Arabidopsis thaliana: one gene and its partner. The protein of the gene in region 1 purifies or fractionates together with the protein of each later gene. This does not show direct contact. Each region holds a gene or a part of one and is shown on either strand. Other genes may lie near its edges.

Region 1 (15,633 bases):
TATCACCAAAAGATAATATATCTTTTGACTTGTCCGAAAAGTAAACATGTCCAAAGGACATAAAAATAATCAAATCTGTATCCCTTATCTTTTTTTTTGTTGTTGTGATCAACGAAAATAATTAAAATTTTAACACATGCTAAATAGTGTTTATTGACTTTTTCTCCAAACGTGAGATAGTTTTGGTCATAATACATTAATGGTATAATTAATCAGCCCTTATAAACACGTTATTGGTTAAATAACTTGAAACTTATGTCACAATCAATTCCATTAACACTCCACGCGTAGGCGTAGCTTAGCGTGCGTGCAACTATCCGCTATCATAAGTTCCCATTATCACTAGTATTAAACTTTGGATTAAGGATCTTACTCAGATTTTATAATAGTTTATGAAATTTTGTTACTTTTATAGTCTCTTAAATCAGAAATTGACTTCATTAAACAGATCGTACGAAATTTTCTGATCAGTAATTCTTTTTTCCTTTATAATTCATCACATACAAACATAAAATGAAAAAAGAAGAAGACATTTTAGAAATAACTTAAACTCTACATCTAAACTTGAATACCATGTCTAAATTAATGTATTATTTAACATAATAAAATGTCTATTTAAGTAAAATTAAAGAATAATAAAACTCGAATCACATAACAAGCCTTCATTGCCGAATAATTTAGACATTAAACCAAATTAACCAAACATTTTTTTTTTACCAGACTATTATGTAATGCATATTTAAAAACTAATTACGTCAGGTGAAATTAAAAAAAAAAAGGTATGACGCCGTCAAAGGACCCGGTAGTGGACCCAACGGTGCATCAACGGAATCCGGATCTACCCAATTGTATCTTAATTTTAGATCCGAACCCGAAACGAACAGATTCTTTTATTGGATTAATTAGTGAAAAATAAATAAATAGGCTTTCTTTTCTTACACGTCACCGACCGACCACTCCTGTCTTTGACATTCTCCTCCACTGCTTTAAATGAAAGAAACAGAGCACTGTTCCGATTCTTTTCATTTCTCCATTGAAATTACAATTCAAAGCTTTCTTCTTTTGTACGTTATTCCATTAATCCAATTTGAAACTTTCAAAATTTTCCCTTTTCTCTGGCTTTCGAGTTTTTCTCGATTCCTTTCTCCATTTTATTCTTTCCCCTCTTCTTCAACATCTCAATATAAACCCTAATTTTGATTCTAGTTTCTCAATTGGTGTGAATTCTCAGAAATTCAGAAAACCCTAATTTCGTTTTTTTCTCTGTTCGGTTTTTTTTTGATTGATTCGATTTCCTTTGATTCTCCGATGAGGATTTATCTGATTTTCCTCGTGGTGGTTTCCTTATTTACCTCCGCGTTTTCCGATTCGATTCTCGAGTACCCGTCGGAAATCGAGAGTCGACACAAGAAAGCTGCCGAAGAAGATGTCAATTTGCATTGTACGACCTGGAGATTCGCGGCGGAGATGAACAATCTCGCGCCGTGGAAAACAATCCCGGTGGAATGTGCCGATTACGTGAAGGACTATGTGATGGGTAAAGGCTACCTCACCGATTTGGAGAGAGTCTCTGAAGAAGCTTTGATCTTCGCGAGAAGCATCGAATTCTCCGGCGATGGCAAAGATATTTGGATTTTCGATATCGATGAGACTCTCTTATCCAATCTTCCTTATTACATTGATCATGGTTTTGGGTACATTCTCTCAAAACTTTTACTTTACACATTTTTATCTCAAACTTGGTTTGGTTTGTGTATGTTCATGTGATTCTTTTGCTAGAGAAACTCATAAAAGAGGACAATTGGTTATAGAAAATGCTTGACTTTGTTGATTATGTTTTGGGAATTTTGAAGGTTGGAGCTTTTTGATCATTCGGAGTTTGATAAGTGGGTAGAGAGAGGAGTGGCACCAGCCATAGCACCAAGCTTGAAGCTTTACCAAAGAGTGTTAGATTTGGGATACAAAGTTTTCTTGCTTACAGGGAGGAAAGAGAGTCACAGGCTTGTCACTGTTGAAAATCTCATCAATGCTGGTTTCCAGAACTGGGACAAGCTTATTCTCAGGTATAATTATAAACAAATGCAGCTTCTTAGGTTGTAACTATACATGCTTCTAGGTCATGCCATGAGTTTTTTCGTTATGCAATGGTTGATGCCGGTGGCATATAGTTTGATAAGAAACATGGGTAGCTCTTTGATTTTAAGTCATGCAATGAGTTTGTTCGTTATGCAATGGTTGATGATGCTGGTGGATCATATAGAATTCTGGATCTCTGCAAATGGTTTGATAAGATATCTTAGACATATCATCATCAGTTTTGAACATCCTTTGTTTATTCGTTTTGCTTTGCCCTCGTGTCTGTGTGTGATGTGCAGATCTCCAGAGGAACAGCACAAAATGGCGACACTATACAAATCTGAGAAGAGAGATGAGATGGTGAAAGAGGGATATAGGATTAGAGGCAATTCAGGTGATCAATGGAGTGATTTGTTGGGTACCTCCATGTCTCAACGATCTTTCAAACTCGCAAATCCAATGTATTATATCCCCTGAAGGGCTTTATTTGACGACCTATATAAAACATTTCAAAAATCGTATATACTTACTATTAGAGCAATCAAAGTGTTTTTAAAGTTGGATTGCCTTTGCTTGTAACTTGTCAAGCTACTAAATGTACTAATAACAGAGAATGCTCTGTTTTATACAGAGTAGATAGTATATAGTACTACTCGTTTTAACTTCTTTTTTTCACAATGTATTCGTGATCATCTTTAGTTACACTAAACTCTAGTAAGCCAAAATTAAAACTCTTTAGTTTCTTTTTTGTTGACATCAAATAATAAGAAGTGCATTAAGAGAAAAAGTCACATTCATTATCGTTGCATACTCCAAAAGAACACATGTTCAAGCCTTGTGGCACATTCATCACAAACTAGCAGTAAGAGCCTTAACGAAAACATGTTGTTTAGGGACTGTAAGCACATGATCAAACCACTCAACCTTTCCCCAAAAACTAAAATTTAGGTGCCTTTTAAGCGCAATCACGGCACACCAAATCATCATCTCATCTCTGCCACCAGCCCCACAAGAAGGGCGATCCTCTTCCCATAAAACCGCCATCTTTCCACCATAATCAGCCAATCTAACAAACATATTCTCAGGTAAACTAGGTAGTCCTAACAAACCTTTCAATATTCTCCACATTCTTAACTTAGTATCATACCATCTGAACACTCCGCGATGAATATAGAACAAAACATTATTTATCTCGCAAAAAGAATATGAAGCCCTCATACCAAACATCGTTGGTATAGCCTTGTCCCATCTACCTTCCTTGTAAGCATACACCACTCCGTGAGTCGTCTCCACGTGAAACTTTCCATCAATACATGCGCTTTTGGAGTAAAAAATGCCTTTTGTCTTGCTGCATGGGATGGGCTCAGGATGCCACACTTGTGTTTTTGTGTCGAACACCTCGAACAAGTTCTTACAGGAGTTGGAATCGCCATTGCCATCTTTGTAGCTTCCTGCTACATATATCTTTCTGTCAAGGACGCTAGCAGAATGTGACATCAGCTCCACCCGCAAGCTTGGAGCCTCGCGCCACATGTGAGACTGGGAATCCAGAATCGAGACACTAGACGAGGAGGGTCCTAGGTAAATGGATCCACCAATGTTGTAGATATCAGAACCAACCGCCACGAGACTTGAAAAGTTTGCAGGAGGAGAATGGGGAATTGGCACAGTAGCCAAAACATACCCATTTGACTTCTTCTTCTTACTGGTGTCATTGGTTAGGGTTCCGTCAGGTTTCCGACAGAGAGTGAACCAATGTGTGTTAGGGCCAGAATCAAAATGAAAGCACACGTAGAGACAACTCTCAGTGTGGCCTAAGAGTGATCGGGCTTTGTAAAGGTCCGGTGAAGCTAGTAGAGATCGGAAGCTCTTGGAGACAAGAGAGAGAGTCGGATAGTACAATCTTGAGATGCGTGCGAAGATGCTCAATAGCAAATCATCGGGAAGTGACGACATGACTCTACTGTTTAAGTTCAATATGACACATAAGTTTTTCCTCTTTTTGTTTTCAATACTTTAGAAACAGATAAGAAAATAAAAAATTGAGAAAAGAGCATGTATAATTACTTGAGCAGCAATCTAGGGTTTTTGCCTCGGATCGGATCGAAGCAAAGGTAGATTATTTGTTGATCTCAAAGCGGATGCTACAGGAAGAGCGATTTGATCCTTCGCTTCCTAGGGATGATAGATCAAGAGCGCATTGAGTAAAGCATTTCAGTTCATGTGGATAAAATAGATATCACAGGGGTTTTTGTTCCCATAGATTGTTTCCTTTAGGGTTTGTAGTGACTTCTTCACAGGCCCCGGCCCACATGGCCTAAAGATTTTCTAAATCTATTCTAAATATTGGTGATTGACAGAACAATGATGAGACTGAGATTGATATCCCTGAAGATTTGCTGATAATTGAGCACGAACATCTAGAGAAGAAATAGTAAAGGAAGATTATGGAGACTCATTTGCAAAAGAGAGTGATCATAATTTCTTTGAAGAGAGAGATCGAGCTATTCTAAATCCAACAAACCAAGATGTTAATATGATTAACGAGTAATTAATATGCTATATCACATTATATCAGATAACAACGTTTTTTTCTTCTAATACCCACATTAGTTTATGAATTTTATAGGAATTGATTAGCTATATATTGCCATGTGTAGAATTGAGACGTCGGTTACAAACACAACTGATATTATGGTTTACTCTCAAGAGTTTCTGAATAGCATCAAATTGTTTAGATTGACTAACAACAGTTTGCGACTGAAGATTGGTGGCCCTCTCATGTTACTTGGAAATATTGATCATAAAATTGATCTATGCAATGGCACTAGGTTATATATCATTCAGTTGGCTAATCATGTTGTTAAGACTAGATTTATAATATATAATAGTGTTAGTGCTAAAGTACTCTTGATCCATACGATGCTTGTCTCTCAACATAAGCAAGGTTCCCTTTTTGAGAAAGTTTTTGATTTTGCAATCTAAAAAGGTGAGCTTGTTTCTTCTACCAAAACTAATATTTTTTCATGGACATATGTTGATGCATGTTTCCAGAGTAACATCCATGTCTGGTTTCCAGTGTACAAAGTCAATTAGTATTTCAAGTTTTCAACCATATGATATCCTAAATGAGTAAGGAACATGTATAAAGCATTACTCGAAGAACAAGCGTCAAAGATAAGCCAATGTACACATTTATAATTAAAAAAAAAAAAAAAAAAGATGAGGACAAATTCATGCATAAATATGCTCCTCTTTCTCTTAAAACACCAAAAGTAGTTAAATGAGAACCCAAAACTCTTCTTCTCTTGTCTTTCTTTGTTTTTCTACTTAAATTAATGATTTCTTGGGTTTTCAAATTTGGAGCTGTTCGAGAAAGGTATTACAGTTGTTCATGGTTCGGGCATCAAGAAGACCGTGGTTCCACAGTTTCACCATAAACACTCTCCAGCACCTACACAAAAAAAGCTCACTTTTATCAACAAAACCGCTTTCTTCTCCGATACACTGGAAAAAACAATGGAAGAAATGAGAGTTGAATTACCAAATCAAGTGCGGTGTTCGAACCATGATGGGTCCGTGCAATCTTGAGAATGCCTCGCATGCCCATGGAATGTGACCATCTGCTAATACTCTGCAAAGGGTCCAAAACCACTGTCAAGGTAATGCTTATAATGAGTCAGAGAACATGGATGCGTATGTTATCTAATTGTTCAGTTTTTTTTTTTTAACCAGAAGAACTCATGCAGGAATTATCCACAACCTTTACATGCGCGACTCTAAATGTTTATACTGGAAAACTCCACGTGACATGTACTGAAAAGAGATAAGACATACCGCTGCTTCCTCACAAACGAGTTCCACATGTGCATCATCTGTTTCTCATCTTTAGTCACATCAACGAAATCATCGAGCATCTGAAAGAATAGTAATAGGAAATAACGTTATTCACTATATGGAGAATCAGACAAACTATGTTAGAATCAACTATGTTAGAATCGAGTACAAACGGACACACTTCGTCTTTTAATGAGTGTTATATAAGCACTAATGATCTGGTTCTACTGTTCCATATCAAACCGTGAGGCTTGCTCACATATTTTCTATTGATCTCTGAACCATTACAATATTGCTCCTAACGTTTGCCCATGCCCAGTCTTCAATATTCCTTTCCCTTTCACATGAAACATATATCTACCCAACTACTGAGCTTTATTCTACCCAACTACTGATGCGGTGAAAATATTAAATTCAAAAACATACCCTTCTATCTTCAAAATCTGCCACATCATCATCAACTTCATCTTCACTATCCCGGTCCGAAAGTACTTGTTCTAGAGCCATGGGCTGCGATAGTACACATAGCAAAGTCAAAATCAATTGCAATCTTCAAAAGCAAGAGAGCTAAAGAAAAAAGATCACCTGAGCTCGATGAGAGTGGAAGAACTGTCTCTTCTGAAGGAGGCTTCGGCTGGAGGAGGAAAAAATTTGAAAAACTCACTCACATCATTTGGGATTAACAAGCTACTTGTTATAAAACTAGGACACAATTTTTCATGCATGAACCATATGTAGTTAAATATAAATTGAAGAAGAGGATAGAACGACAAAAGGAAGTCAAACATACTTCCTCAAGTCCGACCGTTCTATAGATATTTTCCTCGTTTTTGCAAACTGCAACATTGTACTTCCAGCTATCGACTGCACATAATCTGGATCCCCACATGATTGCACGTCTGCAGGACTCGTGCCAGGAGGAACTCTTTGACCAGACTCAGCACCCCCAATTCTTTCGTAATGCTTTCCAGGTGGTATTCGGCTCTTCTCACTTCTAACAGAATGAGCATCTGAAAGTAAGAATAAAAAGCTGTGCCAAATGATCCAACGTTGTTGCATGCAAAATTGCACATAACAAAGTAAAATACTCGTAAAATATACAACTAAGACAGGCTCTCATCACAAAAGAAGCCAATACTACAAATCCAATTAACTGTCATTTCAGTCAAACACATACCATCAGTCTTATCTAGCACCTCGCAACCTAATCCAAGATGAGGCCCTTGCCTTGAGCTCCGTACCTGACTCTTTTGCCTCCTCCGTCTGAATTTTTTGGAACTGTCACATATTGAAGAATTTTTATGGTCTCACACAGATGCTGGAAAGATAATAAAAGGCAACATATAGGCCAGATAACTTACGAAAAAAAGAAAGTTTGCTGCTTTGGGTCAACGTCATCCTCATTAACCTGAGCAGATTTTTTAATGAACATTAACATTTAGAAAACTGTGCTAAGAGTAATCATCAAATAGGAAAAACTACAAAGACATAGAATATATTGTAGAACCAACTACTTCAATTAGATTTGACACTCCTATATAATCCAGGACTTTATTCTACAGTCGAGCTTTGACGGTCTCATGGCCACAAAAAGTAAACAGAACAGCGATGTCATTTTGAGTTTATTCTCATCACGCTATTAAGGACAATAGCAAGGATCATAGTGTGACAAATAGCAACTAAAGATTCCAGTTCCCTTATTTAACCACACAAAAGTCAACAACCCATGGAGGATATTAGTTTAAATGAAAAATGAATTTGTTACAGCCTATAAGATATACAGCAGAGAAACTAATGAACATAAATCGAACAAACAAGATGTTCTAACCTTGGATATCATTGTCTCAGTCTTGAGGGAGACATTTACCGCCTGAAATTCTTCAGTTACCTAACCAAGTAAAGCAGATTAGTGGCACCCACAAAATAAAAAAAAAAGATCAAACAGGTTAACTGAATTTTAAAGCTACAAACCCAAAACTCGAAATTGAGGAGATCGTGGGTTGATGGCAAGTGATATCTCAGGCCCTACAACATGATTGGGAGAAAAAGAAAAGATTGCATCACTACAAAGACTAGTCACTACAGCTGTATCTTTGACTAAGAGGATGAATGAGAATGGAAATGAAAGTCCACCTTGAAACTGGCACATTTTACTAAGCAGAATGGACAAGAAAAGTCTTCAGTTACTGCAAGACACATAGCAAACATATACGTAACAGGTTAGGGTAACGGATGAAATATAGACACACATGGGTATGAAACAGGTTAAAATAATACTAGTTACCTTCAGTCTTCTGCAATTTGTTGTTATAGTATCTGTAGTTGAAAACTACATTTCCTGTTCTCAACCTATGCAATGAATGTAGTGGTATAGAGTCAACTTAACGAGATGGACATTTTTAGTTGTACGTAACGACTTGTATAATCCCCATAAAAGAGGAGGACAGTCACAATTCAAGAAAACTGCCAACTATATATTAAGGGAGATAGCAGACCGGCCAATATATTTTATACAATTACAAAAAATCATAATGAGATGAGGCAAGAAATCTGAGAGCGCAGAAGAAATTGCAGACTAAACTGAAGATTACCTGATAATTTGCAACAAGGAAGAGGAAGAGATGTCATTATATGAAAATGAACTATAAGGAGATTTTTCCGTTGACCCAACTTCTTCTGCAGATATGGTGACTTGCACTTGCTGCGGAGAGCTCTTCAAATAAGAAGTGTAAGAATTGTAAGAATATGATTACATGATATTTCAGAATAATGTATGGAAGTATAGCAAAGTGTGCAAAGTTACCGAGGTGAGTGGATTGCTGGGCACCTGAATCGAGACACACTTTTCCTCACTCATGGACTTTAGCTGCAGCAATGGACAAGTTATACCAGTAATATTTTCATTTAAATAATCAAGACTGAAAACTAATGGCAAAAATAAAATTCACAGTAGCAATTACTTCCAATTTACTTTTTCAAATAACAAAAGAAGTTCAATACACAGTCCTTATTTCAATACAGGGAGCATAAAGTCATAGAACAAGAGGAAGACTTGGGCAATAGTGTTTACCTTTATGAAGCAAGGCTGCATTTCAACAAGAGAGACTGTGTCTACTCTCTGTCCCAAGTCCATGTTTGGTGATTTCTGCCACGACGCATACAGTGATTGCAGAGGTATTTTGCTCCATAAACAATGTCCTCCTATATTTCCTGGCAGAAAAAAACGCTTCCGATGGTAAGAGTTAATGAAAAAAAAGACTTTCAGAAACTCTTATAATTGGAGTCAAAGAATCCCTAATTCTTTTGTTAATAAATAGGACTGAGATTTTCCATACTATTACATGGAAAATTGGTAATGCCCAAAGATACATAACTTTTCAATATTAGAATGTTATATCAATGAAGAAATGGAAGTACCTGAATGAATCTTGCCTGAATCAATGCCAAATTGAGAATTTTGCGCACCAGCTACAAGAAGAAAATTATGTGATCAGTTTATCTGAATACTGTACATATATAAATGTCTTTATATAATTTTGTACACAGTCAGTCTTAATCACCAAAGCTGATAAACAAGATAGCGAGTGATCCTGATTTTGCCTCCAATGCGAGTCTATTCATATCAGGGAGAAGAAAGTTGGCTTGGGCTTGACTAACTCCATCAACCCCCAATCCACCAGTTAGGATACATGCTCGACTGAACCTATATACTGCAGAATACTATAATTTGAGAATTTCAAGAAAAATGTTAGCAAAGAATAGGTAAGTTACAAATAATAAAGATCAATGCAAATCTGTCTGAGGTTCAAATGCATACCTCAGCGACAGGCTTAGGAGAAACGAGTCTTGCCAACAAAATATACAGAGGGAATAATTTTTGAGTTTGTACCCCAGCATCTATAGCGCCCGAGAGGAATACAGTCATTTGTATTCTGCAAAGCAGTAATATATATTGATAACTATCCGAAAACTTAGAAAGCATTCAAGTCCGGAATGAATTACTAAGGTATAGTGTAATAGTTACCCAAAAGTAATGGAGATTCTGAACAGAGAAAGGAAGGAAAAAAAAAAAGCTTACCTCCTTTTATGTTTTGCCTCAATCTTATAATGCAAACATCGCTGAAGAAACAAGGGCTACAGGGGAGACAGAGAGAGAGAAATGATTAGGATGGACTGCATAGCAAGACAACACATACTTGCTTATACCAAATGAAGTCAACTCAAACTACATTTTCATGTAAATTTTCATTGTCAAAACTCAAAAGTAAACCAATACATGTGATATATCAGCTGAGCTCATAAGTCATAACTAAACATATTCTGTCTAAAAAAGGTAGGAAGGAAGACATACATTCCTAATAGCACGGCGTTGAATGATATTGTAGAGTTCAACAGGCTTGCAATAGGCAGCCAAGCTCTCTTCAGCAGCAATCTCCTCCTCTTCCGAAATACGCAGACGGGAGTCTTCATGGCACATCTGCTCTGTGCTTCTTGAACAACTGTGATTTCACCATCATACGCAACCAAAATTGTAAGCAACCCCACAACAAAATAAAAATTTGATAAGTTTGAATTACTAGGATTCCTCAGCTTATACATAAGAGAAACAGTATAAAGTTACACAATGCTGCAGAGACATTATAGAAGCATTAGGTTGTTCATGAGACTTACGAAGAGGTTTCACGACTAACAAGAGGAATGCCTGGCATTCTCGCTACGAGATCCTAGAGTACAATACCATACCCAGAATCAGTGCATACACCATCACAGATTACAAATTTGCTTCAGCTACAAAAGCTGCAACAAAAATCGTAAAGAAGAAAAACCCAATAAATCCCACAACAGCAGAAACGGGTATCAAGCGATTAGCAGGAAAAAAAATGTAAACTTGAACAGTGGTGACCTTCAAAATCCAGCAAAGACTCGGAGTTGAGCTAATTAGATAAAGAACAGATTCAACAAATTGACAGAGATCTCGAAATCAAGGAGAAGGTGAAGATTAGGATGGAGATGGAACAGTTAACTCAGAAGAAAAAAAAAACCCTAATTGTGAGAAATTATCTTCACGCGAATACAGAGGTGACTTTGACAGCTTGAGAGAGAGAAAGAGAGAGATGAAGCGTTTCGAAGAGTAATAAAAAGTGTAAATTGATGATATTGTTGAGGAGACCGTAAATATTTTTGCTCTTGAGAAAATAAGCGTAAACCATGTCCTAAATCAGTAAAATTCGGTGCACAATAAAATCTAATTAAAACTCTTTTCACTAATTGAAACTAAATTCCCCAATGGCCATGAGAAAGCATAATTTCTTAACTATTCAATATAAGCCACTTGAGTTCAAATTAGAGATCCACCAAAAAAATGGATGACAAAGTAGTCATAGTTCCTTATCCCCCTAAAATGATAATGGTATAAACAAACATATTTTATGGTATCATCAACTCTTACTATCTAAAATCGACCATCAGTTTCGTGTCACCAATATCGGTAAAATGTGTTTGTTTTTGCATAACCAAGGTTTTCCGTTCCTAATAACGGCGTAAGTTAGCACTGTAATTGAATATCTGGCCAAATAGACGCTAACGTGGACGACTACCTAGCCCCATCATCAATCACACAGAAAAGGAGTCGGAGAGGGTTTTTCGCCTAGGGTTTTAGAATTCGATCTTACTCATTCAAATTTCTCCCTTCAGATTTATTCATCTGTTGAGTAAAACCACAAGGGTTTCTCTCTAATGTTGCCCAGATTAGCTCGAGTCGTCACTCAAACCTCAAAGCTTCGATCTTTGACCACTAATGGATCGATGAAAAATCTCTCCTTTTTCTCCCGATATGGGTACGCGACTGTTGCGCCGGCGGCAGCTGATCCTCCGTCGCAGAAGGATTTCCCCAGTAAATCTCCGGTATGATCTTAAAGTGGTAACATTTTGTTTACTCAGATTAAAGATCTCGTTTTCAGAAGTAGCTGTTAATGCGTAGTTGTTGTGAATGTTTAGGTCTCACTATAGTATTCGAACCTAAGCTCAATTTGATTCTCTCTGTTTCTAGTTTCATCGAATGCGGGACTAAAGTGACTTCTGCCTCCCCATTGTACCTCATTTAGGATTCATCCCTTTTTTTCTGTTGGAGTTTCATTAGTATGTTTGTGATTTAGATTCATGCTCTTTTAGTCAACTGCTTCTGGACAATCGTGTCTTCTTTGATGAAAAGGATTTGTTCTATGTTTGACAGATAAACTTGGATAAGATGTTTTGGTCAAAGCCATGTTCATTGGCTCTGCCTAAAGACTCTCCTCTCAGAATTGATGAACCAGACTATGTAGGGATTCGTCGTTTCATACTAAAGATGATGATGTTCTATAGCAAACAGAGCATGTCTATCCGTGGGGCTAACGTGATCTACAAGCGGATCATTGCACAAGTTGATAAACCTGCAATATATGATGGTACTTTATTTGGTTTCCAACACAACTTTTGCAAACAGAGTTATGTATTTACATTTTGTGCTTTGTTTATATATCGGGTGCTCTGTCTCTGCTGCAGTATTCAACTTGGAGAAAACATTCAAAATAACGTATTCGCTGCTTGTCCTTCATATGTGGCTTGTTTTACGCCGCTTGAAGGAAGATGGACAGGAAGGTGTTGACCTTGGTCAATACGTCTATGAGATCTACAATCATGATGTTGAACTCAGGGTATCTAAAGCCGGGGTACGTGCTAGACTTGGTTTTGCTTTAATATAGTTTCGAAGAGATATCTTAGTTTCTTAGATTCCTTAAAATAAGATGGTCTTAATCTTTCTTGAAATTACAGGTTAACTTGCTGCTAGCCAAGTGGATGAAGGAGTTGGAGAGAATATTTTATGGAAATGTTGTTGCCTATGATGCTGCGCTACTTCCGGAAGCTAAACCAAATGACCTACAAATCAAATTATGGAGGTAAAGCTTCTATAACGTCATGCTTTATGCAATGAGTTCGGTAGAGATTACACAGCTAAGTAGCTCGGCTTGAATTTATATACAATATGGCAGCCATAGATAACGGATTTGTCTCAGAACCTTATATGCAATTGGATTGTAGGAACGTATTTTCTGATGATGGAACAACAACACCTGATAACACAGATTTAAAAACAGCACAGGCATGATTTTCTCCTCTCTATCTCTCTCGCAAACACACACACATTGACATACTAGTTTAGGCATTGTGTACCAAACTTGTTAAGACATTGCTTGTGTGTTTCAGGCAATGGCAAGATATGTCCGGAGAGAACTTGGTTCTCTTTCTTTAACAGGTACCTATGACGCTATAGTTGGAATGCCTCATTATGTTACTCGCATTTGCATTTCGAATAGACATGCCTTTTCTTATATGGTTCTTTTTTGTCATACACAGATAAAGAGTCCATATTCTCCGGCAATTTCTCCTTCACCCCTTTGGAGAACAAGCCCCTGTGATTTGAATGAAATTAGAAGAAGCTGTGGTGCTTTGCGAATCAATCTTTCATTTGTTTCTCTGTTTCATTTGATTTACTTATATCAAACCAAAGAAACCTACACAAGGGAATGTGCTAGCTGTTAGCATCCAGATGATCATGAAAACAATGTGAAAGTGAATAAGATTACTGAATTAGAGCATTTACTGTCATTGGTATTTGGTACTTTAATTGGCTTACTAATGCTCAAAATCTTTTCTACAAGGCGATAGCCGATTGTAATTACTTATCTGCCATTCAACATTTTATGATCTTGTATTTGAAACAGTATTATAACTATAGTATGTTAGATCGTGGAATTCATCATCTTTATTAAATTCTTCTTTTTGTTGGTCTTTGAGGTTAGCACAACAAATGAATTGGTACCACATAATAGCAGCGCTTTTATAGAGAACAAATGTTCATGGTTAAAGATTTCTGCTAGCGTAGAAGGAGATTATGAAGATTTGTGTAATGTACCAATGACACTGTCTATATGAAGATTTCCGCTCGCATAGAAGGATCAAAACATTACTCATACAACAACAACAAGATTACATCATACATTGCATGTTATTATATATCACACATTACAACATAAACGTTGAAAATAAAAACAAAGAGAAGAGATCTAACGATGGATGACAATTTAATGTGGAAATCGTTTTTAGCCTTTGAATTTTAAGAAACTTGTTGGTGTTGGACTCCAATGTTGTGCTGCCCATACTTAGTATCCTGCACTCTGCTTCCAACCTTCATCCGAGCATTCTCTATCTTATCCGATCCAGATCCCGTCATGTGCCTAAATACAATGACCATATTCTCCAATATTCAAACTTTCTATAAAATATAACGTGCATTGCAAGCTCGGTTTGAAACGGTAGGTCACATTTTGTGTGGGTCGTAAATTACCTGTAGAGCCAAGAGAAGGCGGTAATGGCGGCTATTCCAAAGCCACCGGATGCAAGGAATCCGGTAATGATGAGAGCAACGGTTACCACTGCTGGAACCAAGACGGGGCTGAAGATGACGAGGAGAGGAGTAGCCACCGTGAGTGCGATGACTGTTCCAGCGAGTGTTAAGCCGGAGAGGACAAGTAGGGATCCACCGGCTGTGACAGCGGTTGCTGCCTTCACCATCTGCCTGGCCTTCGGATGGGCCTCTTGGGTACTGTCTCGGCTTATCATCTCGTGATGGGTTCTTGTTTGGTCCGCCATTGGTTCTTTTTATTATAATATATCCCTCCAACACAAATAGTAGAAATTAGCAGAGAAAAGGTAGTGATGTGTTTTCGGAGTAAGTAATGATGATTTATGAAGGAGAGGAGCGCTGGTGGGGCTCGCTTGAGCCATGTCACGTGTCAAAAGTGTCTTCATGCAGCCGTTGCATGTGTTAATGAGTAGAGATGGGTCTTTTTTGCGACACGTACGTCTGGGTCTTTTTTTTTTTTGCTATAGTACACAACATGGACCGGGACATAAGTCACGTGATGGACGTTATTATCGATCGGTCGTGATGTTATGGTCACTCCCATTCCCCCACTCTATAGAACTATAGAAGCAAAGAATTAAAAGGAAGTTCGGAATCCACATCCATTAAGCCAATCGGCCCAAAACAACTTGGCTCACAGAGAATAGTATTAGTAGCTCTTCAACTCAAAGGTGTGAATAGTTAAGATTGTTGTGAATTAGTAGCTCTTCGCCTCAAAGGTGTGAACGGTAAAACTTAAAGGTGTGAATAGTAAACAGAGAATAGTTAAGATTGTTGTGAAAAAGAAAAGCATTAAAAGTGTGAATGGTAAAACTTTTGGCTTTCATAACTTTAAAATTAAGCTGGAGCTTTTAAAGTTTTTTCTCAAGAGTCTCAGAGAAAGTATCATTTGAAATCATGTGGATTTACTATTTTGTTATACAGACTCATACTACAAATTTAGATTTGGACATTTGACACACAAAAATACATTTCTTGAGAAGCTTATTTCATACACACTTTTGGATGGCCATTTCTTTTACAGTCGTTGCCAGTCTCTGGAACACCTTCAGGTTATGTCCTACTTTTCCCTGGGATAGACAAATCGGGTCACCACCACCTTTCACTTTCAGCACATAAATAATCGAAAACTCTCGAAAATCGATTAGGCTTACCTCATTCAGTAATGCAAGCCTATCTATGGTAGGTGACAATTTGCCACAGAGATCTGTAACTTCCTGTTGTATATGGGATTTTGAACCATATGATCCCCTTTC
Region 2 (15,805 bases), on another chromosome or scaffold:
TATTGACGCTTGTGTTGACGATTCACGAATATTCTGACAAGAAACGAAGACTAACCATGAGATCCATGTACTGATCAGCATCAAAGGAAGTGCTGTTGATGTTATCGAAAGAGGCGTTGATGGAGGAACCACTCGTCGAGATTGAAGGATCCGGTGCGTAGAAGCTCGACAATAGATCTCTCATTCTCTTCGCCTTTTCGTCCATCGGAGCTGCCTCCGTCGCCATTTTTCTAAACTCCTGCTTCTTCTCGACGACGAAAATATCTGTTACCGGAAGCAGAATTTTGGCGTCGGAGATTCGTAATGTGAATTGAAAAAGCAAGAAGAAACTGGATCCGACTAATCAACTGGGAAACGGATCCGTATCCGATTCGAACCGGAATACGGTTTAGCAGTCGGATTACTTTTTATGAGATTAGGCACTGGTTTAGTGTGATTGGTTCGTTCACTTATTTTAAATCAGTTTTATTCGTTGAAAAGTACATAGATTGGCTTTAGCTGTTCAAAAATCCATAAATTTGAAACTATTTTTCGAAATGATACATTTTTACTTATTGACCCCAATAATTCATAAATTGTTTTATCACCTATACAAAGTCCAAACTCGATGTCAAAATAAAATAAAATCTCAACTCTATAATAATTAATTAATAAAGACAAGCTTAAGTTATCAAACTTCAAATATCATCTCTCACAACTCTATAAGTTATTTTTATAAAAGTTACTTCTCTTAGCCAGTAATCATCAATGAGATTGGTGCTTTCTGGCTCTACGATGAGTAATGGCTGAATCATCTTTCTTGGAGCCTTCAGGTTTGCGAGCCCACACTGGTGCTTGGTCTGGTCCATATCTATAGTCATAGAAAAGCTCTTCGCTAGCTTCTATTCGTTCGTTTGCAAAAATCCCGACCCTGTGATCTCCTGCTACAAACATCACCTACACCACACAGAAAAAGACACCGTACTTATGCGGGAAGCGATGAGACCATGGTTACTACGACAATAGACTGAAAATCGCTCTTTTTTGTAAATAATTAACACCTTTCGAAAAGGGTTGAATAAATCTAGCAGATGATATACACATGTTACTTTACACATTACAATCATAAAGATTGTAGAAACAAGTGTGTTTTGATCATAACCTACAAAGCTAGATTTGATCATCTGTTTTCTATAGTGCTAATTGCGATTAGTTTCTACAAAATGTTATAATCCTAGTCCTCCTTCTAAATGGAACTTTTGAGTGGCTAGAGGTGAGAAAGAAGGTATAATTACTAACCGATCATGTGGTTTTTTCATACCAAAATGGATATGAGAGAGAAGCATTTAGTACCTTAGCGTAGCAATTGGGTTTAGCTGAGTGATTGGCAAATTTCAGCTTGTCACCTTTGCGTTGAGCATCGAGGACGTACTGCAAATATCAAAAGCTTACTGACATATGCGAAATTCAAGAGGAAACTATCAGAAAGAAGGGTGAGAGATTTGGTCACCTGATCATTCAAGTCAAAGAGGAAGGACGAATTTGCCCGGTCATATATTTTCCCACGCTTATCCGCCTCATGGTGTGAGATCAATTCACCGGTGTATTCTCCAAGGTATTCATTTTTGCTGACCGAGTTCTGATGATCAGATGAGGTTCAGATTACATACAAGAGGTATGAAACAGAAGTTAATGAGGAAGATATTCACATGCTTTACCTTTAGAAAAGCACCCCATCCAGCAACATCAGACTTTCCCAATAGGATCTGGTAAATATAGCACATGAGAAACTAGATTTATCAACAATGAATGCATTTTATTTTTAGTAAATACATGATTTGATGACAGTATTATACCCTCTGTTGTTGCCTCAGGAGAAGTCTCATGTTTCCGCATTGCCCTTCTCCGCGTCTTGGTGCTTCACCGAGAGAACCATCTCCACAACTGAGTGAATAAGCAAGGCATCTTAAGTTACTCATCAAATAGTAGATTTGATTGTATATGGCACATCAAGAGATCTAGATTTAAAATGACTACCTAACCCAGCAATTTCTGCAAACATCTGGATCACATTCTCTGCCAGCAGCAAAGCAGGGACACTGCCTACTTCTGCATTGACTCTTTGCACAATGACATCCTCGGAAACGATTTTTACAGCTTTTTGAGCACCTGAATTAAATCAATGGATGGTTATAAGAAGATCCTCTGTTACTTCAATTGACGTTAATTTGTTTGCATACCCGCAATATTTCTCGCAGCAAGTTTCATTAGTTAGACAAGGGCAATCCTTTCCGCACATTGACAGGCATCCACACGGCGTGTATTGTTTACAGGACTGGTTTTTGCCACCAGCTATTCTTTTCCAGACAGACGGATGACCAGCAGACTTTGTAGAGTATTTTAGCTTCCGGGTTTTGCCTTTTCTACGGAACAATCTTGTCCTTGGAGGCACCTCATCATTCTGTCAAGTAAAGTAAGAGAGCGGTAAACCAAAATATGATTCTGACAGACATGGCATGCTAATATCAATAAAATCTCAAATAAAATAATCACTTGTCTAAGCCAACTTATGGTCAACTATCGTTTTCTCTTGTCCAATGCAGGTATCAGGGAAAAATTAAGCAAGGAAATTGGCTTTTCCGGATCAGAACTTTTTTCTTCTGGAATAGATCTCTAACCCTATCAGTCTGACAAGCTAACTTTCAATACAACAATGCCCAAAGTCGCAGATACTGCAGAAAATTTGAAAAGACAAAAGACCCTAGGAAGATCAAGAGCTTACATCATTCCCTGGGTCAGTCCTGCCATCATCCAACAGCAAATTTGGGGTACTAGATCTTCGAAAAACTGAAACTTCGTTTTCACGCATGTAATTGGACACATCTAGGCATGTCTTCAAGCCAGAAAGCAGGTTTCTTGCAATAAGACAGCTGAGATAGCACGGACAAAACATACTAGATGTAAATACGTTATAGGTGTTCTGTGTTTAAAGATAATAATTTACCAAGATCCAGTTTACCTGTTTCTTCCAAAGATTTCGACTCCCTTCAAGTAAAGATCCTTCTCGATAGGATTCCACTCTGTAGATGGTCGACTTGTCTCAGACATTTCTGCAATGATTATTGCTCCGTTTCCACTACCATGGTGTGGCTGACAAATTGAGGAACCACCATCATGGACCGAATTGTCTGGAATAGGCTCACCTACTTCTTTTGCATCAGCTTCTGAGTCTCTGTTTACTTTATTGTCAGTTGTTCCACCTTGATCACCCTTTGTGCTATCCAATGCCTGATCTAAGCTAGGGACAGAATTAACAAATGACATTTTTGTATCTGAGGCTGCGGTCTTCTGTTTCTTGTTCGATAAATTAGGCAGATCATTGGAGTCTTTTAGAATTGGGACCTCACGCTTTCCTCTAATTCCATGCTCTTGTTCTACACCAGAGGATGAATCTACATTCTTGATACCAATATCAGTCTTCTCAACTTGCAGACTGACACCACTAGCAGCAGCATGGGGAACATCAGAGGAGACAGCCTTGCTGCATTCCTCTTCTGAAGCTTTCTCTTCTGCTTTAGATGCAAAATTACTGCATGTTTCTGGTACTTCTCTGACCGCCTTGAGCTAAAATCATTAACATAAGAATAATGGTGATTCAAACTCTGGAACCAAGAAAAATTACTGCATAAACAAGACTATGCACTAGTACAACTACAATGAAAGATCACTCCTCTAGCAAACGCATACATGCTAAACCTCAATCTAGGTCAGAGCATATATTCCATGATCTCACTAATGAATATAGTTTATTAACTACGAATATACAAATCACTCTGAGAATGTAAAGAGACAGAGAGAGAGATAGACCTGGAGGTAACAATGTTTGCTGCAGGGTTTCCTATCACCTTCATAATCAGACCAATAAGGCTGTTTTTCACTCTGTCAACCAAAGTTCTCTTGTTATGTTGTCCACTGAAACTTTAGCAATACAACTAAAGAAAGTAAAGACAAATTCAAGCTTACAGCACTAATCAAAGGCTGAGAACATCCATGCAGACGACAGTCAAATACCTGTTAGAAATAACCAAAGAAGGATTAACATGATTAACAAACACTTAATAATACATGCTCTCTCTGTCACAAAGAACAATCCAAGTACCAAGCAACGGCGGCAGAAAAGATTATCAAAAGAATCTAGAGCTGCACCAAGGCCCTTTTCCAGAGATATTCCCAGCTTGAATCCGGAATTAGAAAATTCCTCGGTATTCTGCTTATCCTTCAACTTGAGCTCATTGTATCTTTCCTGCAGCAGACAGGAAAGCCAAACATCATTAGTGAAGAAGAATAGGAAGACCAGAAAAACATCATTAGATAAACCACAAGAACAAGATGACTAAAAACTGCACCAGGATATCAGAAGCATCTACGCTTAGCAACTGGCAAAGGGCATCCTGCACTTCCTCACCCATGCCATACTCCTGCCCAATTAACCTGCCAATTCAAGTCAAACGAGGTATGAAGAAATTCATATATAGTGAGATATATTTCAAACCTAATGCTAATGAAGAGTCTTACAGAATGAAATTTGATATGAATACGAAATATGACATCTTTTTTTAGCATCAACAAATGTGATTCATTGGTTAATAAATTCCACCCAGGTACTTCTTCAAATACCAGTATCACAATTTTTCCCCATCAGAGTACATGAGAGTCCATAATTTACACTCTCTGCAAAACTAACCATATAATGGAATCTTCACCCTCGGAAAATTCACGTTTTTCCTCCTCAGGTTCTGGTTCTTCCTCACTATCGCTGCATATTAGCGTCTCACCACCATGTTGTTCATAGTAGATTTGTCTTCGACCAACCACAGACTGATCTTCAGCCATTCTTTGATTTCTGCATGGTTAAGATATTTTTTCAGAAAAGAAAAACAACACATAATATGAAAACTGAATTTGATGTTCTAGTCTATTGTTCAACTGAATTTAGAATAGCATGCTACCAACGCAAAAATGAGAACTAGAAAAGGTGCATGCCTGTCCAAAAATATCCAGGTAGTGTATGGCGGTATTCTCTCAGCAATAGGAAGCTTGACACTTGCTGATATAACATCCTTAGTAGGAACATAGTCTCTATCTCCCACACCATGAGAAAAACCATTTAACTTGCAGAGTGGCATTCTCATTCTCGAAGAAAGCATATTGCTATTTCCATTATCCTCTGCGGTAGCTCGGCTCGATGCAGCAGATGAAAAGGGAGAAACATGAGCATCCACTTTCTTTCTATTAGCCTCAAATTTCTCCTACATTCCCAGGAAAACAATCAAAAACGGATAAATGATTTCAAATTTTTTAGACATTAGTATAATTAGTAAAGAACATCAAGTATAGAAACTCTCTTACTTTAATAGACCTAACTCTTTCTCCTTGAATTTTCCTTTTAAGCTCACTTAATCTGTTTTCCAAACCCTCGAGTCTATCTTCTTCTTCTTCACCATCATCATCATCATCTACATGAGACTTCTATTCAGAAGCCCAAATCAAAACAAAAATCGTGTAAAAAACAAAAGCAACGAGGAAAAACACTAATTCTATAAGGTCCATCAACTCCAACAGTGAACAAAAGTAAGAGAGCGATTATAATTTGATGAACTCAAACGGATTTCACGAACAATCAGCTGAAAAAACGCGAATGATCATGCGCATACGAGCAAAATCAGATAATAAATCAAAAAAAAAAAAAAAAGAGGAGATTGAAAGGTAAATCTGAGTACGATTCGTCCAGAGGAGTTGCTATCGTCCGTCACCATTGATGACTCCTCGAGCTTTCCGCTTCTCTTCCGCTCGAACTTTCTCTCTCTCTCTGCTTTTTCCGCAATCAGACTTGTGAGAAGGACGAACGGAGTGTGGACTGGAAGGGGGGTTACATTACATACAAAGAACGCCACACGTGTGAATGAATAGTGCTTATACGTGTGTAATTTAATTAGTGGTTTTGCGACAATTATTTTCTATTTGTGATTATAATTGTATGTTATCTTAAAGATAACTATTACGACATGCCTGGCTCTGGAGCCGTTGAGGCTAATAATGGCTAATATTATTAACGTCAAAGTCTCTAGAGCCACACAGGTTATAGCAGTTACGTTTGAGATAAGTATTAGTTGTAAAGTAATAAACTCTGAACGTAAAAATATTAAGATATTTGTGATTATAATTGTATTTTATCTTAAAGGTAACTACTATGATTTGTGTGGCTTTAGAAACTTTGACGTTAACAATACTAGCCATTGAGGCTAAGAATATTAGCTGTAAAGTAAAAATCTCTGAGCGTAAAGATTTAAACTGTAAAGATTTTTTTTTTTTAACATATGTATGCTTCTTATAAACTTGTAAAGGGAGATACAAATATCTTTCTAACCATAATGGTGGTACAGAGAATTAATTAACTGAGCCTTTTTAGATAAGATGTCCGCAGCTGCATTTCTTTCCCAATTAACATGTGCTAAGGAAGAGAACGGAAGCTTCACCATCCAATAACGAATATCATAAAGAAGAGTGATGATCTTATTATGATCACTCTGCGTATTGATCAGATTTACTAGCTCTGCATTATCGCTCTCAAACCACACATAAGTACATAATGTAGTCCTCGGGACCAAGTCACTTGAAGGGCATGAAGAAATCCGAGAGCCTCTGCTTGAAGAGATAATTGTGACGATTGAAGTTGAGCACGCCCTGAACTAAGGAAACATCCATTGCAATCTCTGTAAATCCATCCTGAATGTATGACAGTCCTTTCCTGAACATAACCACTATCAAAAATAATAATAATAAAAACTGTGATTTTAACTAATAAGAAAGGAATTACTTTAAATATTGGTTTGATACCATAAAAATTATATTTAAAATATTAGTTTTTCAACAGATTATATTTTATTTAGATTATTCCATAAAAAAAAAGTATTATACTGTTACTTTTAGCTGTAAAAACTTTTACTGTAAAAAGCCTTTAAAAATTAACAGTACAAACTAATCACCTGTACATAGTTTTTTTATATTGGAAAAAGTATATTCAAATTCTATTTGTATATCTGATGGTTGTGGCAAATATTAATTAATTAACGCAAAAATATATACAAAATTCTATCCTCCAATAAAGGAGAATCCAAAATCCAAAGAGCTGTAATAATGTCCCAAACTCAAAAGCTTCTCTGGTGGAAATTTTCTCACCGTAAGTGGGAGAAAAACAAATAAAAAGAAGAAAACCCTGGCTTCTATCATCGGCCTTCGTGAAGATCTTCTGAGAAAACAGTTGTTCGTGTAATATTTTCATGATCAAAAGCGCTTAGACCAGAATAAGGACCAGAAGAGAACATAGAAGAGGTTACTTCTGACTCGAACGTAGCTGATGATTGTCTCCGGTTAGGACGAGCTTTATTTGAAGTGTTTAAAACCGGGTCTTGATACTCAACCACCCGTTGAACCATTTTAAGTGACTGAACCACTTCGCCCATCGTTGGTCTCTGGCTAGCTTCAGGTGCAACACAAGCTGCAGCGATTGTGCATACTCTTATGAAATCTTCTTTCGGGTATTTTCCTTCAAGTCTTGAATCGACTAGTTCTTCTAACCGGTCTTTGTCTCTTAAAACTGGCCTTGTCTGCATCCAGAATCAAATTTTTACATTCGAGACTTCAAAAGCTTAAGTTTTCGACAATGAAAGTGCAGGAAGATCTAGGAGATGACAAGAACTTTCTACTTACCCAAGTGACGAGATTTTCTTGGCCTGAAGGTTGTGACATATCCACAGGTTTTCTACCAGTTAACAATTCGAGAAGGACCACACCGTAACTATAAACATCACTCTTGACGAGTAGGTGTCCCGTCATTGCATATTCAGGCGCAACATATCTGAAAACAGATCGCGGATTCAATAGGCAACTCAGAATTTAAGGTTGTATATGAAAACTGTCGAGAGATATGAGCAACTCACCCAAATGTGCCCATAACACGAGTAGATAAGTGATTACCCCTGCCTTCAGGAGCTTGTTTGGCTAGGCCAAAATCTGCAACTTTGGCGTTGAAGTTGTTTTCAAGGAGTATATTAGAGGCTTTAAAATCTCTGTGTATAACGGAGGGTTGCGAGTCTTCATGAAGGTATGCAAGTCCTCTTGCAGCATCAAGTGCAATCTTCATTCTGGTGTCCCAATCAAGAGGACAGTTCAACCCGAGAGGCCCTGAAGCATAAACAATGACTTAAATAAACCACTCTTGTAGATGAACTCAGTGTACAATAACTACTTTTGACAATGTCAGATCTAAAAATAGGCAGCAAGGGAAGCAAAGAGGAGATATTACCATGGAGCCAAGCCTCGAGGCTGCCATTTGGAACAAGCTCATAACAAAGTAGGTGCTGAGAAGAATCTCGACTACTATAGTAACCCACAAGTTTCACAAGATTACGATGATGAAGACGGCTAAGCATATCAATCTCCACCTGGAATTCTTTATCACCTTGTGGCCCACCACTTGTGAGCTTCTTAATCGCTACAGCAGTACCATCGGCTAAGATGCCTCTGTAAACCTTGCCAAACCCACCTTCTCCTAGAATGCTAGCAGATTCAAAATTGCTAGTTGCCTCTTTGAGTTCTTCATATGACAGAAACCGTGTACTTGCTGGGTGAGGAAGAGATCCCCCAAATGAACCAGCGTCCAGGTTCCTTGGTTTTACTGAAAGAAAGGAATATGCGATCAAGTTTTTACTAAGAACAAGAACTAAAAGTTAATTGCCAGGATTTAGGAAAGTAACATAAATCACACTGGTAAGTGGACAGCAATCATTCATCATCTATGTATCCCCATTTTTCTCAATCCTTTTGTTTGATTCCTAAGGTCTGTTGGCTTTTTACATAAGGTCTGTTGACAACTAACAACACAACTTTAAACCCAATATAAAAGTTGACATTATCCCAACATCTATGCTAACTTCCCAATGTGCTGCTCACATGATGTGTACCTTTTGACATGATTCACGTATTCCTAACTGAGATCGGCCTATAATTTAAACCTTGTAATCAGAAGAGGTACATACCAGCTTCTTTGTGAGGATCTGGAGCTTTCTCTTCTCGGAGTGCGCGGGAACAAATAACAAGTACAGTGATTATGGCAAGTATAAGCACACCAGCGGCTATAGAAAAGATAAGAATAAGATTGGGATGCCTCTTTTTCCCTGGAGATCTTACTGACGTAGTTGCTGAGGATCCTTGTGATGGTGCTTTATGAGGTGAAGAAGCCACTAGAGGTGCTGCAAACATATTAAGACCTATCTTAGTGCAAATGCAAGGAATCATGGTGATATACTCCAAAAAGCATCAAACTGGGAGATGCTTTTTTAACATAAAAAACTATATCAGTCTACTTTCTTTCGGCTATGCTATCTTGAATGTGATGAAACTTTGACCGCAGATGTGAAATCAAATGTGCAGAATTGATGGGGCGATTGAATTCTTTCCCAGATACAATTGTAGAAAAGTACTTTACCTTGCGAAGGTGCAGGGGCCTCAAACCAAGTAAGGTTTAGAAGTTTGTAATCTCCCACCAAAGTAGGGCTAAATTGAATCTTGTGGCTGATAAGGGAAGAGTTTATTGCGGATGCCTGACTAGCTGAGAAACTAATTCCAGAATGAGGGGTGATATCCATCGATATGTTCATCCTTGATAAGCTTAGCACATAGAAGTTAATCAGCTCGATTTGGTGAGGTAGGAGACCAAGCTGGGTAGCAAATTCGTTCAAGAACATGTTCCAACTAGGAGTTTCTGAAACATTCAAGAGAAGGATGTCCAGTTTTATAGGATACACGCAGTGGCAACCAATACTTCTTCGTTTAAGCACCATATCTGATTTGCAACAATCTGGAAGAACAACAAATAAACACAATGAATCTTGAATCAAAAAGTTATTCAAATTCAAAATGGAAAAGAGAGAAAGTTGAACTTAAATTATCCTTGTAAAGGCTAACATTGATTTAGTTATGAGAATGGATAATTTCTTACTTGAAATGGAGGGCGACAAAGGTGGCTGAGTTAAGGCATCAGGAAGAACACCATTGCTAGATTGTGCTGGAGCAATATCAGCCAAGCCGGCTCCAGGAGACTGAGCATTCCTTTTCATGGAAGGTTTGGAGAAATGTGAGCTGGTAGGGGGATGATCAGAAGCGACCAAACGACTATAAGGGGGAGAATGCTGAGGTGCTTCTGCTTGTTGTGGTGCGAAATACTTTCTGTGAAACCGCGGAAATTCAGCTGGTAGGGGCAGATCAGTGATAACTGGTGAAGTTGAAGGTGATAACGTTGGTGAAACTGGCAGTCCTTCATGTTGAGCATCAGCTAATTGAACACTGACGAGAGAAACCACACAATATACAATAACCACCGCCTTCAACGCCATTATTAGGTCATCTCTTTGTGAATCTGGGATTGTTATATCGTTAAAAACAGTGAGATAGAGCTAAGACAAGAACAGAACTAAAGCTAGCCATGTGATTAGGTATTGCAACCATTCGGGAGTAATTTTGAAAGAATGTCTTTAAGCAACCTAATGAATTCAACCTACTATTCTATATTCATGAAAATATACAAAGACATGGTCCAAAACCCAAATCACTTCCAACATACTTTGCCTTTTTGAGCCTGGATAATCTAACATATAGGTCCAGAGCTAAAGATCATGTACCATATATTTAGAAACTATAAACCTAAAAATCTTGAGCACGATAAGTTCAAATCCAAACTACATTCCAAATCTATATTGTGACTTGATATTCACTAACCAAAATCAGAGTGACCTAACAGATAAAGAAACAAAGTAACTAGATATCACATAGGTCCCATAGACAAAATTAGAAATCCGAAACATCACAACTTTTTTTCCTCCAATTTCAAAATTCCTTAAAAATCGAGATCACTACACTTGGAAGAGACAGTATAAGAAGCTAATAGATAAACGAGAATTTACCAGAAGAGCTCGCGAGTGAGAAAATCGACATCACCGACACTTTCTCTTGCCTTGAAAACCCTCAGATCTACACAAAAACTCGCCGCGAGAACAGAAACTCACAGCGGAAGACGAAATCTCAAGAAAAAACGAAACGTAAAAGACCTTAAACCCGGAAAAAAAAACACTCTTCAGGGGGTTTTCAACGGTGGATCCGAGAAGAGAGATATATTAACACCACTAAACAGAGTTCCGTAAACCCTAGAAAGAGAATCCGCCATCGTCACCAACGATTTTCAGCTCCCAGAAAAAAAATATTCCGTTGGCGGAGATTTCTTCGGATTCACTCAGCTTTTAGTACTGTAGAAGCTCCATCTCTCTCTCTCTCTCTCTTTTTTTCTCTTTCGAGAAATTATTTTAAAAAAAAATTAATTGTTTAGTCCAAAATGTTTATTTAATATTCTTTTTTTTTTTTTCTGATCGTTTCGGTTTTTGAATGCGCGACAAAAAGAAGAGAAGCGTGCGGCGTACTTGAGCGTATATGTCCACGCACACTAAAATACGCCGTTAACGGAAAACAAACATTAACGGTAGCTAAAAACAAAAAGCGTCACAGTCAGTCAGTCAGTCACTATCGGACTTCTCTGTTAATATTTTGATCCGTTAAAAGTTAAAATGAAAACCAATGTTAAACCGGAAAAAATAAAAAATCCTTTCTTACAATGGCAATGGTATCGAACAATTTACTTAAGGTTCTAAAGGTGAAGTGGCAGTACAATATTTTCGAAAGCTTTTCTCAAGAATAGATAGCTAGCTTGAATGATTCTGCCCGGTGAATAAGACGATGAACAGATAGCTAACCAAACATGTCAGTAATGTAGAGATTCGACGAGCAGCTTTCGGAATTTATAGTGGCAGTGTACCAAGAGCCGACGTGAAGACCAGACCCAGACCAAAAATGGGTAGAATAAAGGGGCATCGGTGCAGAAGCTCATCACAATTTTTGGATTTTTTTTTATGTTTTAACTTTTAAGACCCATTGTTAAAAAAATATTTAGACTATAGCCCAATTTCTTAACAATGGACGACTTATAAAAACCTTGTTACGTTGTTAATTTTTCCCTCTCTTCCAAATTATTTGATGCTTTGGGTTCTTTTACTTGTTCCACAAAAGATTAATGTTTTGTAAAAGTATAATTATTAATTTTGTTTGTGGCCAATATTAAAAGGAAGAGATAACAATAATATTATTAAACTAACAAAATAATACTTAAAAAATAAAAAATTTACTTTTTCGTGCAAAACGTAAAACATCAAATTTTATGAAATAGAGGGAATACAAACTTTAGCAAATATTCTAGATGGTTAGTAATCAGAATCATCAAACATTAAAATATACTATTTGATGATTAGGATTTGAAGAATAAATAATTTCGGTAAATAATTTTGTGTCCACATGTTTCACTTTTGAATAATAATATTTTAATTTATTTAATGATAATGTGATCGTGTTACATAAAAGATGTATTTGTAATTTGCTTTTTCCTTAATATTTTTTTTGTTGTTCTTTTTTGGCATGCTATAATTTAATATTTAACAAATTTTACATGTAACGCTTATGACGTGGCCACATTCACTAATCACAACACGCAAAAATCAAAACATTTGTTTCTAAAACGTAATGTAGCCGTTATTAGCGTTGGCGACAACGTTAGGAATGTGCCACGTGGCGTATATAAGCGTATCAAATTCCCTGAGATTTCTATTATAATGCCAAAAAAAAAGGTTTTCATTATTCTCTTTCTCTGCGACTCTTTGATCGGCGATTTTGAATTTTGCTCTGTAAGTTTTCGTTCAAATCTTCGGTTTCATCTGGATTTATCATGACTTATCGTTCTCTTCAGTCAGTAATTTCTGTAATCGATGTTTAGGGTTTCAAATTTTCAAGTTCTTTCCCTTGTTGTACTCGATTTGAGTATAACTAATCGGAGATTGATGGTTTTCTCTTCGGTTAGTATTCGCCTTTAAGTTCTTTCTCTCGTTTCTCTCTTCAATTTGGGTAAAATTAAACAAAGATTTATATAATCCTCTTCATCGAATTAACTCTTTAGGGTTTCAAATTCTCAAAAATCGCTTTTCTTTTAAGATCTTGCGATCTTTTTTGTTTTGATTTACTCGATTTTACTTCCAATTAATCGAATATTTGTGTTTGATTCTTTGAATTAGGGTTTCAATATCTGTAATCGTGAATTTAATTTTGAGTACAGTTAAGCGATCAAAGACTTGTATATTTACCTAACATTGTTTTTTTCTTCTTATTGTTGCAGATCATGTTCGTATAAGAAGACAGAGACTGGATTCTTCTCTCATTGATCACAGAGAGTTTTCTCGAGAATGCTTTCGCAACAGTCTACATACTCTTCAGGTAATTCTCTGAACTGTGGTTTCCAATTTGCTATATAGTTCAATCCCAAGAGATTAGACATACGGTATTATTACTGGTTGCCCTTGTGTCTGAATCTAAATTGGGATAATTTGTCCCTCTGTGATGATCTAAAAGATCGGAGACAATTTGTCCTGAATCTCGAAAGATACCTACGGCTTAAACCGTTTTTACGGTATAAAAACCAACGGCTTAAATACAATTGACAATCTCAAACCCATGGCTTTGACAGAGCCCTTGGTTCAGATGAGAGTTCCTTAAGGTTCAAGTTTCAGATGGGAAAAGGGAACAGAAAAAGCCCCTTAAGGTTAACACAAACCAGTGACTACTTGGTCTAAATGTGTGTGGTATAAAATAAGCCATACACAGTGAGATCGCAAATTTAAAGAGGATATGTGCACCAAATGATAACTGACGCAACTTTTTTATTTTTCCAGATATTTTTGAAGACTCAGAGATTTCAAAGTGTCTATGGACTTCAAGATTGGTATGTGTTTCTCCTTAAACTTGTATTTAATTAGTTTTATATTGTTACATACTTAGATTATGGCGCAGATCACAGCGATAATTGAAAAATAGACTCTGCATAACATCCCTCAGGTACTTTCTTGGTGATTTTTAGAAATTGTTTGATGCAAGAATATGAAATTACTTTAGGATAAGGCATGTGCTTCTCCTATGTTTGTATACGATTGGTTGATATAAGTATTAATGTTAGAAATCTTAAGTTAACAAGATCCTGCTTTAAATACCTGAGCAACTGATTCAATGGAATTTATTTGACAATCACTCTTCTTAGTGCAGGGTATAAAAATGTCAACAAAGATAGAAACACTATCATAATCAAAACCTACTTCTGATAAAAATGAAGAATTTGTTACATTAATTGCAACTCGGTCTTAGGTAAGTAAACAATTTAGATAATCGTTAGAAAAAGATACCTTTTACTTGTTTAGTATTGTTATGAACATTTAGACGTGAGAATATGATTTTATTGGTTGTTTTATGGACTATTATGTGGACTATGGTTTATAATTTGAAGCTATGGCTTAAATCCGTTGGTCATTCTATGGATTATTCTTTGGAGCGATGGCTTGAATTTTGTTAGTGGTTGCATGATCTGTACTTACTTAAATATGTGTATTGTGTGGTCTAATATGCTAACTTGAATATGTGCTTGTGTGGTTTATGCTTTGAAGTTGTGACTTTTTCGGTTGTTTGTTGTGTAGTATTTGTTTGCTTGAATATGTTGGTTGTTACACGGTGTTTTCTTACCTTAATCTTTGTGTTGATTGGTTTAGTGCTAACTTGAATACCTTGTTTGTTTGAGTGGTCTATGTATTAATTCAAAAAATAGCTATTACTAACATTGAAATTTATGATGAACTCGAAAAGAGATGGTTATTGATTGTCCTTGGAAGATTATCTTACTTGATTTGTAATGATTGCTTAGTAGTGGTTCGATATGAGACCTTTCTTTTGTTATGAGTGTCTGAGAAGGGAGAAAAAATATTTAGTGCTCAATTACAATTTTCGTTGATCAACAATATCTCTCCAGATTACTATAAATTACGATTATTCATGGATATACATTTTAACAAGTTATATTTCATCATCTGTCTTTCAAGTTTGATTGCTCCGTTAATTTACTAATAGAAATCATTAGTTTCTAGTTTTGTGTTGTGTTTCTTCGTGTCTGAAGCTAATTTTGTAACCGTGAATGATACTAGTTCTCTTGTTTCTTGAAAGATTTCAATTTCTTTGTTATGTAAAGTAACTGTTTCCAGAGAAATTGTTTAAGTATGAAATACTTGTTAGCAGGTTTTTAACCTTTGGGGTTAAAAAAACTGGTGAAAGACTCATCAATGTTTCCTCCAAAACATGAGCCTTTGATACCAAATGGTAATGATTGTTTCAGGGTTCTTCAACATCTTTAGCTTTCCTTCAATCTTCCACAGTCTTGCTTTCTTTAGGAACATTCTTCAGAATCTCTAAGAGAGACCACAAGCGTTTTGTTCTTAGTCTATTTCTTGAATGTTCTCTTCTAGTTCTAGTTTTTATGTAGCTTGTTTGGCTTGAAGTTATCTTCTTCCTTTTAATAGACGTTAGAATATGGTTTATAGAAACCAAAACAGAACCACAGAAATTTTTGAAGTGCTTAAAAGATAGATGTTACACATATGATGATGTCATCAGTTCCGTTTTCTGGTGATGATCAAATTGTAGAATTTGGTTTTAAATGTGGTTTCAGTTTTCCTATATATGTTGCGCAATTGTAGAATGAATGTTTCCATTTGTTCTTTACAGAAACAAGATTTGGTATACACTTGTCACCTAAGACTCAAAGTGCTTAAGTAGAAAATTGCGTAATTGTGAAAAGTAA

What was found.
Region 2: the proteins of EMF2 (region 1) and SWN purify together in Arabidopsis thaliana (affinity purification with mass spectrometry, with the first as the bait; one study listed by BioGRID). This does not show direct contact.

Annotation. Positions count from the first base shown.
Region 1 is NC_003076.8:20,819,142-20,834,774, reverse strand, and holds EMF2 (VEFS-Box of polycomb protein), read right to left. Parts: upstream 11,132-15,633; 5' UTR 10,817-11,131; exon of another isoform or gene 10,711-10,816; 5' UTR 10,623-10,710; coding exon 10,585-10,622; intron 10,413-10,584; coding exon 10,265-10,412; intron 10,048-10,264; coding exon 9,992-10,047; intron 9,846-9,991; coding exon 9,731-9,845; intron 9,634-9,730; coding exon 9,474-9,633; intron 9,382-9,473; coding exon 9,331-9,381; intron 9,124-9,330; coding exon 8,984-9,123; intron 8,780-8,983; coding exon 8,717-8,779; intron 8,627-8,716; coding exon 8,505-8,626; intron 8,263-8,504; coding exon 8,198-8,262; intron 8,100-8,197; coding exon 8,047-8,099; intron 7,939-8,046; coding exon 7,885-7,938; intron 7,802-7,884; coding exon 7,742-7,801; intron 7,322-7,741; coding exon 7,275-7,321; intron 7,192-7,274; coding exon 7,091-7,191; intron 6,924-7,090; coding exon 6,704-6,923; intron 6,548-6,703; coding exon 6,499-6,547; intron 6,424-6,498; coding exon 6,340-6,423; intron 5,994-6,339; and 7 more. Other genes in the region: AT5G51260 (HAD superfamily, subfamily IIIB acid phosphatase), read left to right, coding at 1,309-1,694, 1,854-2,063, 2,376-2,553; AT5G51250 (Galactose oxidase/kelch repeat superfamily protein), read right to left, coding at 2,926-4,032; AT5G51220 (ubiquinol-cytochrome C chaperone family protein), read left to right, coding at 11,650-11,817, 12,146-12,359, 12,457-12,623, 12,727-12,851, 12,994-13,054, 13,159-13,207, 13,309-13,370; OLEO3 (oleosin3), read right to left, coding at 14,069-14,189, 14,300-14,604; EMB3142 (nuclear pore complex protein (DUF3414)), read right to left, coding at 15,367-15,447, 15,532-15,633. UniProt on the Arabidopsis thaliana protein: Polycomb group (PcG) protein. Involved in flowering processes by repressing unknown target genes and preventing reproductive development.
Region 2 is NC_003075.7:876,683-892,487, reverse strand, and holds SWN (SET domain-containing protein), read right to left. Parts: upstream 5,909-15,805; 5' UTR 5,796-5,908; coding exon 5,760-5,795; intron 5,509-5,759; coding exon 5,389-5,508; intron 5,289-5,388; coding exon 5,023-5,288; intron 4,883-5,022; coding exon 4,724-4,882; intron 4,471-4,723; coding exon 4,386-4,470; intron 4,283-4,385; coding exon 4,139-4,282; intron 4,051-4,138; coding exon 4,003-4,050; intron 3,919-4,002; coding exon 3,847-3,918; intron 3,604-3,846; coding exon 2,999-3,603; intron 2,910-2,998; coding exon 2,762-2,909; intron 2,441-2,761; coding exon 2,220-2,440; intron 2,149-2,219; coding exon 2,017-2,148; intron 1,924-2,016; coding exon 1,836-1,923; intron 1,746-1,835; coding exon 1,698-1,745; intron 1,619-1,697; coding exon 1,490-1,618; coding exon of another isoform or gene 1,411-1,489; coding exon 1,333-1,410; coding exon of another isoform or gene 1,282-1,332; exon of another isoform or gene 937-1,281; coding exon 745-936; 3' UTR 501-744; downstream 1-500. Other genes in the region: AT4G02030 (Vps51/Vps67 family (components of vesicular transport) protein), read right to left, coding at 56-226; AT4G02010 (Protein kinase superfamily protein), read right to left, coding at 7,266-7,646, 7,750-7,897, 7,980-8,223, 8,345-8,716, 9,078-9,290, 9,527-9,898, 10,040-10,456, 11,001-11,031. UniProt on the Arabidopsis thaliana protein: Polycomb group (PcG) protein. Catalytic subunit of some PcG multiprotein complex, which methylates 'Lys-27' of histone H3, leading to transcriptional repression of the affected target genes, mainly abscisic acid (ABA) responsive elements.